Linked DNA regions of Ovis aries. The protein of the gene in region 1 purifies or fractionates together with the protein of each later gene. This does not show direct contact. Links are inferred from orthologs where the notes say so. Each region holds a gene or a part of one and is shown on either strand. Other genes may lie near its edges.

Evidence for each region.
Region 2: the proteins of USP33 (region 1) and ROBO1 purify together in Homo sapiens (affinity purification with western blotting; 5 studies listed by BioGRID and IntAct, with this or other methods). This does not show direct contact. The link is inferred for Ovis aries from reciprocal best matches to the Homo sapiens genes USP33 and ROBO1.

The regions. Positions count from the first base shown.
Region 1 is NC_056054.1:54,221,539-54,226,074, reverse strand, and holds the start of USP33 (ubiquitin carboxyl-terminal hydrolase 33), read left to right. Parts: upstream 1-1,428; 5' UTR 1,429-1,657; intron 1,658-4,536. UniProt on the Homo sapiens protein: Deubiquitinating enzyme involved in various processes such as centrosome duplication, cellular migration and beta-2 adrenergic receptor/ADRB2 recycling.
Region 2 is NC_056054.1:147,042,215-147,046,037, reverse strand, and holds part of ROBO1 (roundabout homolog 1), read left to right. Parts: intron 1-651; coding exon 652-806; intron 807-3,581; coding exon 3,582-3,823. UniProt on the Homo sapiens protein: Receptor for SLIT1 and SLIT2 that mediates cellular responses to molecular guidance cues in cellular migration, including axonal navigation at the ventral midline of the neural tube and projection of axons to different regions during neuronal development.

The DNA.
Region 1 (4,536 bases):
TTTGTCTATTTAGTGTCTTAATGATTCATGGAAATATATATATATATATATGTATATACACATTTATATATGAGCCCTTTATTAGTCACATTGATACATATTTCAAATGTTTTCTCCTATTTGCTGACTTAACTCCTTCATCTCTTTATAGTGTCTTTTGATGCAGAGATGACTTTTTAATAGGTGACAATTTTTGCCAGCAGTATTACTTAATAATGGAAACAGTTTCAAACCTCCTTTTTCAAAATGCTCTCTTTATTGCACAAGTTTCTTTCAAAAAGCAGTTCTCACTCATTTTTGAAACACAGCTTTTACTCTAGGGCCATAGGAAAATGTATACATTAAAAAGTTGTTTTGTTGTTAGCATTGCTAACAACAGCCACTTATCACCAGAAAGGTTTATAAAATTTTTAATGTCTTTTTTCAAATAAACCTATAAAACTCTCCTTTTGTCAGACAGTACTTTGCTACAAGATATCAGGGAACCAATGTTTTCACGAAATAAAAATTTAACACATTGCTGAGATCTTCCAGCATGTAAACTGCAATATTTTGAAATATGCTGACAGTCAGTTAACCCAGGATAGGTTGTGGTGCAAACTGAGGGCTTGGTGTCAATTCCTACATAAGATGAGGGCAAAAATTCATTTCTTTCATTTTTACCATATCAAAGATGCTGAAATAACCTTTGATATAAATTGATAGAATTAGAAGCTCCCATATTCTCTATTTGTTTCTGACAGAGACTGATCATCTTACATAACACTTGAGTACAAGCTCCCATTTTGGAGACCGAAAAGTTAGAGATAAACAGACACGTTGAAATTGACAGTTGGAACAATTAATATTAACTGTTTTATTGTTTGCATATTAATCAATTGAATGGATTTTAACAGGTCCATTAATTATTAATAGAAGGCAGATCTCTTTAAATGCTCTAGTCACTAAGCAGATACTAAGGTTTCAATAAATAATTGATCTGATCTTGATTTTGGCCTAAGGGAAAATGGGAGAGACGAATTTCTACTTTGTAGAAGTGGGAGAAGAAACACAATGACTTTCAGAGAGTCTAGGTCCTAAGATGCTGGGAGAAGAAAGAGAGGAAGGAAAAAGTGTTGAAGTAAGTATACTTTCTTTGCCCCTTTAGTGGGCAGCCTAAACGCAAATTCTGTAATGCATCGAGACAGACCTGTTAACGGTCGTAGTGTGACTGTACAAGAGGGCGAGAACTCGTGTAGAAACGAAGTGTTTCAAATCCAAAACTGCTCTACAGGTACACGCTCCCCGAGCCGCTAGCTCCTTAGGAAGTCTCAGCGGGGACAGCAGCCTGGGTCTCTGCACCTGGACCCGGCCGCCGCGGCCACGCCCCCAGAGGCGGGGCGGGCTCTCTTCGTAGCCCCGCCCCTCCCCGCCCTCCCGCAACTCCCCAGACGCCTGCGGCGACGGCTGAGACACCGGAAGGAGCGGTAGCTGCTGCGGGAAGTGGCGGGTGCGGGAGGCGGGGAGCCCGCGGGCTAAGCTGCGGAGCTGTTTTCCGGCGCCCAGGACGTGACGCCTCCCATCTCCTAGGTCAGGAGAAGAAAAGAGGAGTTGGTGAAGGTGCGGCCACAGGCCACCGTTGGCCGCGCTGGCGGGGCCCGTGGGGAAGGCCTTGGAGGTGAGCGCGACGCTGCTGGGAGGGGCTCAGGGCCGAAAGGCGCCCGCCTGCAGCCAGGGGCCGATCTGTGTTCTCGCTGCCGCGCACCGGAGCTGTGGCTGCTGTAGCGGCCTCTTTTTCTTGATTCCGGATGGTGGTGAGCGCGCGTGTGGGTAGAAGGCCTAGACCCCTCCAGTGCTTTGCGCTGATGATTGGTGGCCGGCCCGGTAGGGGTCGGCGGAGGACGCGAGTCAGTCGTACATTTGAGGAAGGGTGCCCAGGGGGCGCTTCCCTGGAAGGCAGGAGGGGTGAGGGGAGTCCCTGAGAAGGTCTCCGCTCCTTCCTCGGTCCGCATTCCAGCTTGCCAGCCCGGCACGGTGGGCGCGGAAGACTGGAAGCCCCGCAGCGCGCTGGCTCCGGGGTTCTGGTTTCGCTTTGCGGCGCAGTTGGGGTGATCGGACCCATTCGTGCAGCCCCAGGGGCTCCGTTATTCTTTGTTGTCAGCGGGAAAACCTAGGCGTCGTCGTCCCTGGAATTTTTCTTCGGTGAATATTTAATCCGACTGTTTTCAGAGGTTACGGTAGCCCTTGCGGTCTGTCCATCCGCAGCTTTTGTTTGAGTCAGTTTCCATGGTGTGTGGTTTCCCAGACCTTTACTCTTACATATTTACCCACTATAAAATGCTCTTCTTTTGAATGATTGTTAGGTGACTCTGGTGCTTTACACAAGTATTTTTAGGGTTTACGGTTTCATATAATCAATATAAGGCCAGGAAAATTGGGACAGTGGTGACAACACCGGCAGGCGCGTAGGCTCTGAACTGACGCTGAATTTTACCACAAGGATCTCTAGACTTCTTGCTTAATAGATGTATAGAATTGTAGAATTTTTTAGTTTGATCAGATTATTTTTCTTTTAAGGAAAATCTCTTTCAAAATATAATGAGGCTGTCCTAGTTCGTTTCTGGTTGAAGCAAATGTATCATCTGGAAAGGTCTGACCAAAGCAAATAATAAGCTATTTGGTCTGAACATAATATGAATATTGTTAGTGAATTCATGCTGTTAATATAAACATGAGGGAAAATGGGAATCTTATTGAAATGCTAATCTTAAGAAAAAGTATTAGGAATGAATTGTACTACACCAGGGGCTTTATATTACTTTACTTTGGCAGGATTTTAAAAAAATGGACAGTACAAGAAATATTCCAGAAATAAATTATTTGACCTCTTGCCATATGCAAGAGAGATTGTCTGCTTAACATTGCTTCTTATGGGTTTAGAGCCAGCTTTCACTTTTTTGTCTTTTGTGATTCTTTATAACCTATTTGAAACCAAAAACGTAAATGCATTCAATGGCATTAGATTGTAGTAGATAAATTATTTTAATCGTTTGAAATGCAACGTTGAGGATATAATTTTAAGGTTTATGTATTGCTGTTATAATCTTCAGTGACTTTTCAAATATACAATCTTATTTGATCCTCATGCCTGTTCACTGAGTTAGGAATTCCAAGAAGTAAAGCCTTTTCCCACAACAGAGACATTTTGAGATTGTGGAAGGATTAGAATTTCTCTAAAGCCTGAAATAATCTTGCTGAAATAACCTTTGATATAAATTGGAATTCAGCTAGATTTTGGAGCACAGTGAACTGTAACATGTGACAGACTGTGGACTCTTAAAGGAAATGAAGAGCATAAATGGTGAAAGATTTTTGGGGAGAACTGTGAAATGTAGTCATGTCTAAAAAATAAAGGGATAAATAGCAGCTTTTTTTAGTGTAGATTTTTTGTTTGACTTTTTTTTTTTTTTTTTAATTTGGCTGCGCTGGGTCTTAGTTGTGACAAGTGGCATCTAGTTGCCTGGCCAGAGATCAGACTCAGGAGCTCGGAGTCTTAACCACTGGACCACAGCGAAGTCCCTCATACAGTTTTTAAACTTTTCAAGTCTGCATGCAATTTCAGGAGCATTTTGATAAGTAGCTGCAAAGAGAATGAGATGAATATAGTTGGTTTGTCTATAAAAAGCATGAATTTTTTACAATATAGTGTGTGTGTGAGCATGTGTGTATCAGGAGAACTAATACTTAAGAAACAATGCATATGTCAAAATAACTATTCTTTTCAAAAGTTACTTTAGAACGCCAAGTAGGTCAGTTTCTGTGGGTCTATCACGGAAAGCCCTCTGGAAAATAAAAAGAGTGAAACATGGTTTCAGCCCTTAGAGTCAGGTTTGTAGTCAGGCTTGGGTAATTTTTTATACAACTATGGTAAGGTTGTGTATGGTATTATGGTATTACAATCAGGTATTTATGGTATTATAATCATATAATCATGCTATGGTATTATAATCAGGAATTCAGATGAAGAAGACATTACTTGTGATTGAATCTTGATAGAGATGATATTTGACGTGTGCAGGATTTTCAACCGGAGGACATTTCTAATGAACAGATTATCGCGTTCCTGGGAAGGTACAACTTATATTTGAGAATTTGGCTGATAATAAGTTATGGTTTATATAAGCTAGTAGTAAGAGATGAAAAAGACAAATTTCAAAAGCCTTCATTGAAGATGTTTTGTTAGAAGAGGTGTGTGTTTCAGGCTTCCCAGGTGGTGCTAGTGGTAAAAAAAAAAAGCCCTGCCAATACAGAAGACAGAAGAGATGAAGGTTCGATCCCTGGAGGAGGGCATGGCAACCAACTCCAGTATTCTTGCCTGGAAAATCCCATGGACAGAGGAACCTGGTGGGCTACAGTCCATAGGGTCACAAAGAGTCGGACTCTACTGAAGCGACTTACCACACACACACACAGTATATGATCCACATGAATGCAGAATGAGCTGTGATTTGGGAGAGGATTGAGACCAAGAGAACACCTGGGCAGCTTTAGGCTAAG
Region 2 (3,823 bases), about 93 Mb from region 1:
GAAATTGTGAGAAGAATTTAATGGGTTTTTTAATGGGTCAAAAACTAAGAAATGCAAACTCTCTTAACTCGAGTATTCTGTAAGCTATTAAAATACTGAAAAATACAAGTATCCACCTTTTTAGAATCTTCCCTGGTGGCTCAGAGCTTGAAGCGTCTGCCTCCAATGCGGGAGACCTGGGTTCAATCCCTGGGTCGGGAAGATCCCCTGGAGAAGGAAATGGCAATCCACTCCAGTATTCTTGCCTGGAGAATCCCATGGATGGAGAAGCCTAGTAGGTTACAGTCCACAGGGTCGCAAAGAGTCGGACACGACTGAGCAACTTCACCTCACCTCACCTCACCTCACCTTTTTAGAGTCCTTGTTTGGTTTTTAGTCTATGACTGAAGAAGCAGTAAAGCATTAGAAACTACAGTGTTTTAAGTCTCTGCCTGTTTACAGTGTAATGGCTATATAAACTGAGGTGTGTCCCAGAACATTACATTTTACTTGCCTTGTCTATAAAATAAAAAGAATGATAATATCTTTCAGCATAATTGACCAAATTATTTGTAAGGATAATAAGATGAAGAATGGGTTGGAATACGGAATAGGCAATGTTATTTGCTACTTATATAACACTTGCTTTTATACGTGTTTTTTTTTCTTTAGGCCAGGACTTCTCAACATCAGTGAACCTGCCACACAGCCATGGCTGGCAGACACATGGCCTAACACTGGGAACAATCACAACGACTGCTCCATCAATTGCTGCACGGCAGGCAATGGGAACAGTGACAGCAACTTGACCACGTATAGTCGCCCAGGTTAGAGGCACAGAGATAGCTTGATACACAAGCTCGGCATTGTTAGGAACAGGCCATGAGGCGATAACTTCCCTTTTCTTCTCCCTAAGTTGGAAAGGAAATTTAATCAATATGTTCATGAAATATTAACCACTGTTTAGCAAATTAGCCTGATTCAAGTTATGTTCTCCATCCTTAGATCTCCACACCTCACTCTGCACCCAAAAATGTTTCCCAATATATGAAGGGAGAATGGAGGATATAAATTCTAGAATAAATAGCAAATAAGGAAAAATGAAATTCTGTAGAAGTAGTTATCCTCATAAAAATGTGTGTAATTATATTTTTAGTAGATTGTAGTTATTTAGAGTATTTATTTTAAAGATTTTGAGGGCAAAGCAAATCAAAAGACCAACCAACAAATATATAGTCTGAGGGATCCAAATTTTTAATGGCAGTAACAACAGCAATAAGAATAATTATATGGTGGCAAAAAATGATTTTAAATTAAAGCTAACTGAAATTCAAAAATGTTATTGTATAATAGTAAATTTTTGTAGGATACAAGAAATATATACCTTTTGCAGCTGTGTATGCTAATACTTGGAGAAGGCAATGGCAACCCACTCTAGTACTCTTGCCTGGAAAATCGCATGGACAGAGGAGCCTGGTAGGCTGCAGTCCATGGGGTCCCGAAGAGTCAAACACAACTGAGCGACTTCCCTTTCACTTTTCACTTTCATGCATTGGAGAAGGAAATGGCAACCCACTCCAGTGTTCTTGCCTGGAGAATCCCAGGGATGGCAGAGCCTGGTGGGCTGCCATCTATGGGGTTGCACAGAGTCGGGCACAACTGAAGTGACTTAGTAGTAGTAGTATGCTAATACTAATTGTGTCTTTGGGGTTCAGAAATATGTGTGGTGAATTACTTGATAATATTTCATGCTAAAACATGACAGTAAACTTTGGATGTAGAGTATGCAATATTTAAAAGAATAAAATTGTAAGTAATTCTTAAAAAAAAACCTTTCAGCACGCATTCACAATATAGGAAATATTAGAAGAGTCATGAAGAATCAAAATATATGACTATAAAAATAACCCATGGAATTAAGAAAAAGGAAAATAAAATATGGTGTTTAAGTAAAAATTATGATGTACCGTAAAGAACAAATTGTAGTCTCCACTGAATTTGGATATGAAAATGATGCAATCATGTGACCAAGTCCCTATTCTTCAGAGGTCGGTGTTCTAGTTATCTAGGCAGAGAAGTGCTCACATAATTATAAGTAAAAGAAAGATTATGCTGAGGCCAGTAAGAGAAGAAAGTGACAACATTTTTGTAAATTAATATGAAGAGCTGAGTTATCCAGCATGGTAGCCTCTGGCTTCAGGTGGCTATTTAAATAAAATATCATTTAAAATCCAGTTCCTCATATGCACTAGCCACATTCTGAGTACTCAGTAGCCACATGTGGCTATTGTATTAGAGAGTACAAAATAGAACATGTTCATCTCAGAAAGTTCTGTTGGATAGCACTCATATGGAAATACTGGCAAAGAAAAATGAGATTGCCAAAACTATATTGCCATTAAAAATATTTTAACAACTCTTACATGAAGCTTAATACCTAAAAATTAGAAATAAAATTACTAAAAGCCAGATTAATTAAATACCTCTGATCCCTGATCTTTTGTTGTTAAAATACAAGGTAATTGAATTCATTAGAGTAGAGAAGTTGCCAATTTTTCTTAAAACTATATTCATTTTTACATCTTCAGTAGTAGCCATATTAATTCATCAATTCTTACGATTTAGTCGAAAACTCATCCTCAAGGTGAACTTGTTAATGTTGCAGCCACTATGCATAAAATAGTGGTATTTTTACTATTATAATGTAACTAAATTTTTATTTAGTATTTTAGTTTTAAATGATGATTTTAGTTCTTCCTGCTATTTTAATATTTTCAAATGCAGATCTTAAGTATTTCTGTCTCTTAAATTAGAGTGAAATTGAAATATTAGACAGATTATTACAGGTGTTATTTGATTAAATTGCCCTGGGTACTATGATTCATTTGGCCATCATTATTGTCATTTTATATATCTTGAGGTATCATTATGAAACCATACAAAATGACTATATAATAGCTTTTCTTGATAATTATTATCTTGCGTGACCAAAGGAAAAAACTAATAAAATTCTCCTGAGTATTGTTTACTATCACTTTACCTCTGTTCCTCATTTTTTTGAATAGAGGTATTTTGTACAATATTGAAATCTCAAGTTATCTGATCTGAGGGCAGAGGTTTTTTGGGGGAGGGAGAAGGTCTGGACTAAACCTAGTAGCCTTGTTCTGTTGCTTTAACAGCTAGCTCGTAACTTCAAATAGTTCAGTAATTCCAGATTAGAAAATATAAACTTGGCACATAAAGATATTCATGTATATATTCTCTTAGTGCCTTTCTCATTAATGTGATTGTTAAAGGAAAATTACTTAAATTGAGTTCATTATTTATAAACTACATAACACTAACTGAAGTTCAGAATTATTTAGTCTCCATATAAATTATATGTCCTCTCTTACTCCCTGAATTTTTTTTTTTTGAAAGAACATTTGATTCTGTTCTTTAGAAAGGACATGAGAATACATGGTCCTTTTTATTCATCGTATTTAAGCCCATTTATACTTTATATAACAATTTTACTGTGACTCGCAAAGCTTCTTACAAAGAAATTTAAAACGAATAACCATGCGGAATGACTTTTTCCTTTTCCTCTCCATTGCACGTAGCTGATTGTATAGCAAATTATAACAACCAACTGGATAACAAACAAACAAATCTGATGCTCCCTGAGTCAACTGTTTATGGTGATGTGGACCTTAGTAACAAAATCAATGAGATGAAAACCTTCAATAGCCCAAATCTGAAGGATGGGCGTTTTGTCAATCCATCAGGGCAGCCCACCCCTTATGCCACCACCCAGCTCATCCAGTCAAACCTCAGCAACAACATGAACAATGGCAGTGGAGAC